2 linked regions of the Arabidopsis thaliana genome follow. The protein of the gene in region 2 interacts with the protein of the main gene of each other region in a pairwise test. Each region holds a gene or a part of one and is shown on either strand. Other genes may lie near its edges.

Region 1 (4,436 bases), 9.1 Mb from region 2:
ATATCATACATGCTAAAATACGTAACGAGGCTAACAATGAACAAAAACCTCAGAAGAACATAGTCTAACGTGGCATCAAAGAAATGGTTTCCTAGTGCTTAGAAACAGAAGAAACTACAAACACATCAATTCTTGGAAAAACTACTTTCATAAATATTCAACAATATGATCTATATATGCTGCGTAAGATTTTACCTTGTTAGAGTAAACCAAGCAATTGTGTTCTTTTCATAGGACTTGAGGTTTTATATAAAGCTTAAGTGGAGGAAGTGGAACAGTTTAGAGAAGACATGGTCAAAGGCCTTAATTAAAGGTTTCGGGAATGGAAGAGGCAACAAATAACGAAGTAAATCCAATTCGCCGGGTTCATGTACCACAAGTTCCGAAAAGAACACAATTGCTTGGTTTATGTTGTTTAATTATAACGGTTCAAGTTCTCATAATAACTAAACGGAATATTAAAGAAAGTGGATGTTCCATTGGATTCAATCAATTTGATATGTCAACATAATCACTTTTTTCTTTCACAATTCCGAGAACATAATAAGAGCTTTTGGACACTCAAGTCATCATTGAATACCACTAGACTTGGTCTGAAACCATAAAAGCAAATAAAGAACATATACCAAATCCACACTACAAAGCAGATGATATAAGATGAAGTTTGAGAGGAGTTATTGAGAAATGTAACCATGGATAGTGATCTTGAGAAATATCACACTTTCTTGTTAAAAGTTTCAGACTTTACCCATCAGACTGGTTCACTTCTACTCTAGAAAACTTGTCAGAATGAAAAACTAAAGAAAACTGAAACATACATTCCGCAAAAGCTTTCATTTTGCTCGGTCACAACCGCGCTTATTAGCTCACAATCAAAGAAAGTATAACATACTATTGTAACGGCGACAACTTCTATAGCCATGTTCTTTCAGAAGAACATAAACACTCAAAAGTAGTATTCATATAAGAATAGCTTAGAAGAACAATACACATCCCAAACCTCTCTCTCTCTCTCTCTCAATCTCTACACACCAAAGTTAGAGCAATGCAGAGATTTCTAAGCAACACAATGAGATGTATCTCACAGTCACAGGACAAGAATCAGTTTCTCCAATTAGTAGAAATGCTAATAGACACAACATCTTTAAAATTACCAATTCCTATAAAAGTTCCTCATGATCCATACATTCTCACTACACTTTTAGCAAAACAAGATTTTGATTTGAGAACAGAGTAAAATTTGCAATTGTGAACAAAATGAGAAATTTTACTTTAGGCTGAATCAGTCTTTGCTTTCCCTTTACTGAAGAAATCATCGATACGACGAGTCCCAATTGGCGGCGCCGGAATCTTCTTGTCGGAAACCGATTTGGTATGTTTGACAGGCTGAGCCGGCAACGGAAGCGAGTCTAAGAGGAAATCACTAGTAGGTTGGTGTCTTTTCACGGCGATTCTTAAATGATCGAGATTAACAGTCTTACGCTTCTTCTCCGCCGTAACAACAGCAGATTTCTCGGCGAGGAAGTGGAGGAAGAGTTCGGTGGAGTAAGTGATGACGTGAAGAGCTTCTGAGTTGATTTTGTTGATGTCTTTGTCCAGTTTCATTATCTTCTTTACTCTTCCGATTGGAAACTCTGGTCGGATTGATCCTTCTTCTTCCTCCATGGATTTTGATTTTGATTCTGTTGAGAAAATCTGATTAAGGTAATGAATTGTATATGTTCGACATTTTTAGGGTTTTGAGATTTACGCGCTCTGTCACGGCGGGAAAATGAAAATGAGCAATGAGAAAACATGTAAACCGGATTAACCAAAACAGCCCGAACGAAGATTTTGCTAATTCGGGTTTTCAGCTTAAACCGATTGGTGAGATTGAGAAGAACGTTTGGTAACCCGGTATGGTTCGTAGATTTTTATGTTGTAGAGATTGTTTCTACATGAGTCACTGTCTAGCTCAAACTAGTACTAGTAGTCTATTTTAAAGTTTTATATTGAAAATTTTAACCGATTCTTTCTTTTACTTGGATCACATTGTACAAGGAATTCTAGAAAGCTACAAGTTGGTACAAATCTCCTAGCTACCTGAATTGAACCCCATTGATCCTTCACGAACGCAACGGATTTAAGGAGTGGCATATCGAACTAGAAATGCCATCAAATAACAAATGAGCTTTAGAGATAGTTCCAAGTGTGGATAATGATTTGAGATTATACTTCTATATGGCTGTAGGAAGCCTTTTTTTGGCTCCGAGATGTTTCTAATCTTGAGACTTGAGAGACCATCTACTACAATTGTAGCTGTTTAATTTGTTATAACTAATCCGTTTCCTCTTTACTATTCGCAGCTTTTCACAAAATTCACACACAACACTCCTTCCTCTACAACGTTTTGAGGTTGTAGACATGAACCAATTTCATACCATTGGAACAAGAGGCTGTTGAAACATCTCATGGTCACATATTGAGTACTAGACATGAACCAAACACATCCAACAAAGTCCATTTACAACAATATACAAGAAGAAGCTAACTTTTCGTATCATTGGATCAAACCCATCATCTTAATTCTTAATAGTTAATACTAAAGATTTGAGCCACCAATAATGACAAATTCGAATATTTTGACTATGAACAGTAACAAAACAACCCAACACAAGAAAAAATATCACAGAAGCTATCAAATCTGTTTCTCATCTATGTGTATATATATATAATCAACTTACAAGACAGAGAGTGAGAGAGTTCAAGAGAGAAGAATCGTTTACAAAGTATACAAATTTCTTGAGAATCATCAATAAGGACGATTCGGTGGCTGAACCGTAATCTGAGCCGGTAAAGGTCTACCAGTTCCAGAACCACCACAATTGCTACAAGCCGCACGACCTGAACCAGAACACCTACGACATCCAACGTCACCATCGGACCATCGAGAACAGAAACACGTGACTCGTCCAGTACCGTTACAAGTCGGACAACGAGGGAATTGACCAGCCATAGGCTTTTGGTCCATGACTGATTTGATAAAGACCGCACCGGCTAAAACGCTGATTCCTGTAGCTAACTGGGTTATGACGATCGGACTCATTGTTGGTTTCAATAAGAGAGAGAGGTTTGGTTTTGGTTGCCAATTTTGGGGATAACGCAAAAGTAGAATCGTGAAGAAATTGAAGAAGAGAGACGTCTCGAGGAAAAAATAAAAGTTTTTTTTTTTTTTGTGTTCAGACAAAAGTGTGGTCTTGTTTTAATTTGATACGGTTCGGTTTATTTTTGAAGTAAATACAATTTTGGGAGATAAGGGAATGGTTGAGAAAGTAAACACGTGGGCTAGTGAGGGTTAAGTTGTTGTGTGAGGAGATGAATGAAACAGCCGTGTTTTTTTTGGATACTCCAGTTTTTGGATTTGGGTTTTTATTGGGCTGTGTGTGTAAAATATCTTCTACAAGTGTACAACCTTCAGATTTTTCTTTTTTTTCTTTTTTTTTTTCGTCAGATTTTTCTTTTTTTTAGATTATCATTGATTTATCTGACTGCTTGCTTTTTTTTTTTTGTCATCAAAGAAGCAAGCAACTAATTTTTCTACTAAAAAAAATCAAAATTTTATTTATAGTAATTGAGGCCACAAGCTTGTGTTTGACCCGCTTGTACTTATGGACGGCTCTGTATTTTACCTAATAGATTTGAATGGTAACCATTTTAATAACAATACAATTTTGACAGTTACTAATCACAAAAACTTTATCAAAAGCGTTACAAAAAAATTTACTCTCAGTTTTTTTGTACAGCTCATTTTAACAGTTTTACACTATTCCGATAAAGCTAACAGCTAAATAACTTGTATAGTTTTTGGTTACCAATCAGACCCAATATATATGTTCTGTGTGATACAGTTCTTTTGTTGACTTTTATAACATAATAAGTTTCTCGTTAGAAGTTTTTCACAAATTCACTGTAAATTAATTAATTGATTAATCGAAAGTATAAACTATGTTACGAATTAGTCAATAGGGAAATGATTAAGTTTGCAGTGATAACCGAACTTACATGCACTAAAATTAGAGGAATGTAATTCTTACTTTGTTTGGTTAGGGTTTATTGTTCTATTGTTACTATTATATTGTTGTACTATCTTGCAAGGGTTGCAATTGTAACCTTCCATTTCATTTTTTGGGTTAATTTTGTTTCTTTCACGTTTGTACTATAACTAGGTTGCTTGAATTATCAGGCGATGCACTCTTCTCCACAAACAAATCACGCGTCGAACGCAGCCATAAACATGTCCAATGGTGGACGAAGAAGCAATTCTCACAACCGCACGTGCTTACTTCCAATATCGGGCTTTTCAAATTCGGCGTGGGCCGAGTGGCCCATATATGAAGATTCTGAGCTATTGTTGCATCATTTTGAAGTTTTTATTATTGTATACTAGATGAGTACCC
Region 2 (5,558 bases):
GGTACACGAAAGTTTTGATTACAAGAAACTGGAATTTTAAATTGAAAATGATTACTACATCACACAGGCAGTTATATTATTTGATTAAGAAAAGAAGAGAATCTTAAGATTATTAATTAGCAGATGGCTCCTCCTCCTCCGTGTTGATGGGAAAGCTGTGATCCACCCAAGCCAAGTAGCCACCTCCCACGTTTCTCACTTTCTTGTAACCCTATTTTTTTATGTATATATGAATTGATTCTTTGAGATTAAACACACAAGTAGGAGTAAATTATGTATGTAAACTAGGGACTATTATACACTTACTGCAGCAACAAGTTCAGTTGTGGCTTTTAAGGATCTGGCTCCACTCTGACAACCCTGTTTGTATCAATATCATTTTCCAGATTTTATCATCGTTTTCACCGGCAGATTTTAATTCTTGTGGGTGTGATGAGGAAGAAAAGAGTTACCACAAGGATATCATCAGCTGGGTTTAGAAGAGAAGATACTTGCTCCAAGAACTCTTGATTCTTCACTCTACCTAAGAGTAGAGATCACAAGGCTTTAACTCATGTACTGGTTGATATCTCTAATTAAAGGTGATTGATATTTGATTTACCTTGAGGTGTGTTGAGCATGTAGGGAATGTTGACGATCTTAGCTGCCTCACAATGGCCTCTCCTAAACTCGTCCTGAGTCCTGCCATGTGCAAGGATTTTTCATTAACAACCGCAGCAGCTGGTACATGCATGGTGATATGATAGAATAGATCAGAAGCTCACCTAACGTCAAGATATTGATGCCCAGACTGGAGGAGAGTCTTGGCTTGGCTCACATCTACACTAACAACTTCTTCTGCCTTTGTGCTGGAGGAGATTGATTGAGACATCTTCTTCTCTACCTCTTCTTGTCAAACAAAAAGATGAAGAAGCTTCAGGAAGAGAGCAGAGAGTAATAAATAGGACCAAACACAATAATATTGTTTTAATATTGTTCTATCTTCCACTTATACACATGCATGGCCAATATAAAAATAATGGTATATGATTCAACAATTAGAAATTTGTTTCCAATTCCATACGCAAGTAAATGAAATCTACAATAAAGAATATAAGATAATAGTCTTCTTAGACAGCTATGGTAAGATAGGCCCCAAAGCCTGCATAGAAAACGTGTTCACTGATTAGAGATGAGAAGGAAATGTTGGCTGAATTTAGTAATCAAAAGAAGTTGAGTATGTAATAGAAAGTTTTGGTGATGGAATTGCGCAACTAACAAACCCATGAACGAGTCATCGTATTGGATGAGTCGTTAGGTAGAGATGAGGATGACGTGTTCTTTTCTTATTATTACTACAGACAAGACAAAATCAAAGCCACGTTCAATGGATTCCATTCCCCCATGTAAGGGAATCAGATTCAATATTCATATTATACAAACTTTAGGCAAAGAAATTATCAACAAGATAACATTAGAGATTTGCCTGGATCGGAGAGAGAAAATCTGATTAGACCAACATTTGTTTTCTATCAATTTGTTTGCATATCTGTACTATCACACACATTTTTTCAATCTATAACACACACACACACACAATGATCAAATGTACACATGACTCAGAGCGTATGTAAATGTACACATGCAAAGAAAAAGAGGCAAAGCAACTCATATCTTTTTGATCTGGGAATCCAGCAAAGCACGACCAGTATGGCAGATCCGGTCCCTTTACCTAAACTTATCCCACCATGATTAACCATTCAATATAAGATGCAAACCTGGACCTGATCCAGGTAACCGAGCACTGATATGAGTGTTCAGCTGCTAAGCCGATAATAACTCTAACGGCTTTGACTGGATTGGGCAAAGGCAAATCTACTCGTACTTGTATCTGTTCTCGGACTCTCTCGTTTATGTACCTGCAACAAAACAACACAAACAGTGTATTGAACCCAACGCAAAAACAACAAAATAACTACTGAAAGGATTTATACATTTCAGTCTAACAGGATCACCTCAGAAGACATAGTCTCGGTTCTTATGTCATGCTTGCACACAGGGCAAGATGTACCCCATTTTGTCAACCAAGAGTCGATGCAATTCAAGTGAAAAGCTGCATAAGAGCTTCAAATCAACCAACTGCTATGAATTACCCCCACTTACATAAACTAAAAAAGGTCAAATCTTTAATTTATTCTTCTGATGTACATATTCGACCCATCATATCATTCGAAGCAATGAGTAATACCAAAAAGTTCGCATTCGGTGCTTACCTATCAAACTGGAATTGACAGAAACGGAATATATTGTACCTTCAACCCTAAAACAGAGGAATTTATGCTAGAAAGAAATCTATTTTATAAAGTTAGAATCTAAGAGAAACCTATCAAAGTCTTCCTAGAATAGTAAGCACATGTTTCAATCCTGTGAAGGGAAGATCTGTGTCTCATAAATATACATTTCCAAGACCTCAATGAACACATTAAGGGTGGCAAGTTGCCAGTTTATTTCCACAGAAGAATAGGAGTAAGTACCATGTTGGCAGGGGAGAAGTCTGAGGCTTTCTCCAAATCTGTAATCCTCGAGACATATAGCACATGTTTCCCCGGCCTTGTGGTGAGCAGAATCAGTGAAGGTGAAGCAGGGGAGTGTGTGGACGAGCTTTGCATCTAACCTGATGGTCCTGGTGTGCCTCCCTCGCCATTGGGTCCAGTGTCTGGGTGCAAAGAAGGCAATCAACAGGAAAGTGACTATAAGAAGGAGAGAGAAGAAGGAGATGGCCAACACAGTCCAAGCGCTCCCTCTGTCTGGCGGATTAAGGCAGCATTCACCATCTCGGCCTCTCGCGTACTTTCTCAAAATCTCACCGGCGACATTTGAAACGAAGACTGCATCAACTGTAATGTCCTGAGGGTTCACCTTCACTGTGCAAAACAGATGTTGGTCAATCTCCAAACTTATGGGGGCGTTGACTAAATTAAATAACTCCAATGAAATTCAGCTCAACCCTAGCTCATCAGGAGAAGAAAAGATGGAATTTTAAACTTGGGTGGGAGGCAAAAGGCTTACTGACGATGAGATCTTCGTTGTCAATGTTGTCATAGACAATCACAGCTTGAAAACCTGAGTTCTGGGCATTGAGCAGCTTATCCTCAAAAGAACATTCGCCTCTGATTATCAAAGCGAACTTAGTAGTTCTGTGTTGCGTCCAGTTGGATGCGGCGGCGTGGAGAAGCGGTGAGCAACCGTCGAGAGGATCTGCGACGTATAGAGCTCCACAGATTCCGTTTTTGGTCACGGAGCCGTCTGAGAATCAAAATCAACTTCTTTTTAACCAGATTGTTCGAGAAATTGTTTCGGATAAGGAAAAAGGAAGAGGGGGAGAAATTGACCAAATTTGGCTGGGAGATCGGCAAAAGAGGCGGAGATGGAATTGAGGACAACAGTGGCGAGTGAGACTCGTAACAGAGAGGAGAGAAAAGGAGCTGCAACTAGTAGACAGCTTGAGACGACGAGTCTCATCTCTCTCTCTTTTCGCTTTCTCGGTCGATCGATGGCTTTTCAGTTTCAGGCTGTCGCCGAAATGCATTGGTTTCTTCACCAGAGAGAACCTTCTACTCGTCTCAGAGGCTTTAAAGATTAGTTCGTTAATTTATATTTTATATACGGAATAAAAACGACGACGTACAAACAAAGCCTCCTTTGCAAGCAAACAACCCCCAAGTCAAATGAAGAGAACAAAACAGTTGCAATGATGTAAATGACTTGTTGTTGAGATTTTTATACTAAAATGTTACTAGCTCAAAGATTTGCTTCTATTCTCTGTAAAGACGTGGTTTAATTATCTCTATATTGATTGATTTGTGTATTATCAAAGAAAGGGAGATTTTTTCCCAAAACTATTTGTTAAATAAAATTAAAGAAAAGGTAAATGACTATTGTCAAAACTCAAAACAGATCAACTTCAATTTTAATGTTGACATCAAAGTAGAAGAAAAAAAGATTTAATAAAGTACTATTTTAGGGTCAAGATTTTAATTAAATTTGTAGGAAAATAAGATTATTGTAGAACCTAATTAATTATTACATATGGTGAAATGACAATCTAGTCACAGTAAAACAATAGAGAGACTCTAACAAAGACCGACGGATCTGAGCAAAAACAAACGATAAGGATTTGGTCTTTTGTTATGACCCTTGTTTTGCTCTCTCTCCATTTTCTTGTTATAAGTTTCCTCCACACCCTGTAAGAAAGAAAAACATCTGAAAACTCTGCCATCGGAAAATGGAGAAACCGGGTATGTCTTTATTGAAAGGATCACTTTGTGTTATTGTTTTTCTTCTTCTGTTGTCGTTGGTTGAGAGCGTCAAAGGCGGGGGATACGTGAAGTATGGAACCGAAGCTAAAGTGGTTCCGGGGAAACTAAATGTTCATCTTGTTCCGCATTCGCATGACGATGTCGGCTGGTTGAAAACTGTTGATCAGTACTACGTAGGATCTAACAACAGAATCCAGGTATGTTATCTACAGATGAATGATGAATCATATATATGTATGTATGTAGAGACGAGTCTAACGTACTATATATCCCAAATGAATTGTGAGTTTCAGAACGCTTGCGTGAGGAACGTCCTAGACTCGGTGGTGGATTCTCTACTTCGTGATCCCAATAGAAAGTTTGTGTTTGCGGAAATGGTAAAACATTAATAATGGTTTTGTTCATAAAACCATAATATATGTTTTCTTCTCTTATGTGAACATCAATGTACATGAAAAAGGCCTTCTTTACGCGTTGGTGGGAAGAACAAAGCCCCGAGAGACAAGAGCAAGTGAGGAGACTAGTGAAATCCGGGCAACTAGAGTTTGTGTAAGTAGGTCACGACCTTAATTTTATCATTTTGGCTACCTAGCGTTGATACAATTCACACAATCAATGTGCAGAAATGGAGGATGGGCTATGAATGATGAAGCAACGTGCCATTACATAGATATGATAGACCAAACCACAAAGGGGCATCGGTTTATAAAGCAACAGTTCAACACAACTCCACGTGCTGCTTGGCAAATCGATCCCTTTGGTCATTCCTCTGTTCAAGCTTACCTCCTTGGAGCAGAGGTCCCTTCTAATCTATTTATTTCTTTATTTCCTTATGAGTGTGTTTTAATTTGGTGGGGGTGCAGTTAGGGTTGGATTCTGTGCATTTCGCGAGAATCGATTACCAAGACAGAGAAAAGCGAAAGGCCGAGAAATCACTTGAAGTCATCTGGAGAGGATCAAAAACACTGGATTCTTCTTCTCAGATATTCACCAATATCTTCTTTGTTCATTACGGCCCTCCCACTGGCTTTCACTATGAAGTCACCGACGATTACGTACCCCTCCAGGTTCGCTTCTTCTTTCTCCCGTTTGGTTTTTGGTTTAGGGGAATTCGGTTCACTCGTCATTTTGCAGGACAACCCTCGTTTCGATGGCTATAACATTAAGGAGGCGGTTAATGATTTCGTCAATGCTTCTCTTGTTTATGTAAGTCTTGAGTAGTATTTTTTTTTTTTTCAAGTGTGTGTGTAATCTTGGATT

Evidence for each region. The genes of interacting proteins can lie anywhere in the genome.
Region 1: the proteins of RMR1 (region 2) and NF-YC13 interact in a two-hybrid assay, tested with the Arabidopsis thaliana proteins (one large-scale study listed by BioGRID).

What each region holds. Positions count from the first base shown.
Region 1 is NC_003076.8:17,354,902-17,359,337, forward strand, and holds NF-YC13 (nuclear factor Y, subunit C13), read right to left. Parts: upstream 1,806-4,436; 5' UTR 1,666-1,805; coding exon 1,273-1,665; 3' UTR 944-1,272; downstream 1-943. Other genes in the region: AT5G43260 (chaperone protein dnaJ-like protein), read right to left, coding at 2,792-3,085.
Region 2 is NC_003076.8:26,443,141-26,448,698, reverse strand, and holds RMR1 (receptor homology region transmembrane domain ring H2 motif protein 1), read right to left. Parts: upstream 3,614-5,558; 5' UTR 3,502-3,613; coding exon 3,372-3,501; intron 3,286-3,371; coding exon 3,049-3,285; intron 2,904-3,048; coding exon 2,514-2,903; intron 2,093-2,513; coding exon 1,995-2,092; coding exon of another isoform or gene 1,977-1,994; exon of another isoform or gene 1,899-1,976; coding exon 1,821-1,898; 3' UTR 1,266-1,820; downstream 1-1,265. Other genes in the region: STR18 (sulfurtransferase 18), read right to left, coding at 113-211, 301-360, 453-523, 602-681, 765-871; AT5G66150 (Glycosyl hydrolase family 38 protein), read left to right, coding at 4,265-4,495, 4,592-4,675, 4,759-4,847, 4,922-5,096, 5,162-5,365, 5,433-5,504. UniProt on the Arabidopsis thaliana protein: Involved in the trafficking of vacuolar proteins. Functions probably as a sorting receptor for protein trafficking to the protein storage vacuole (PSV) by binding the C-terminal vacuolar sorting determinant (VSD) of vacuolar-sorted proteins.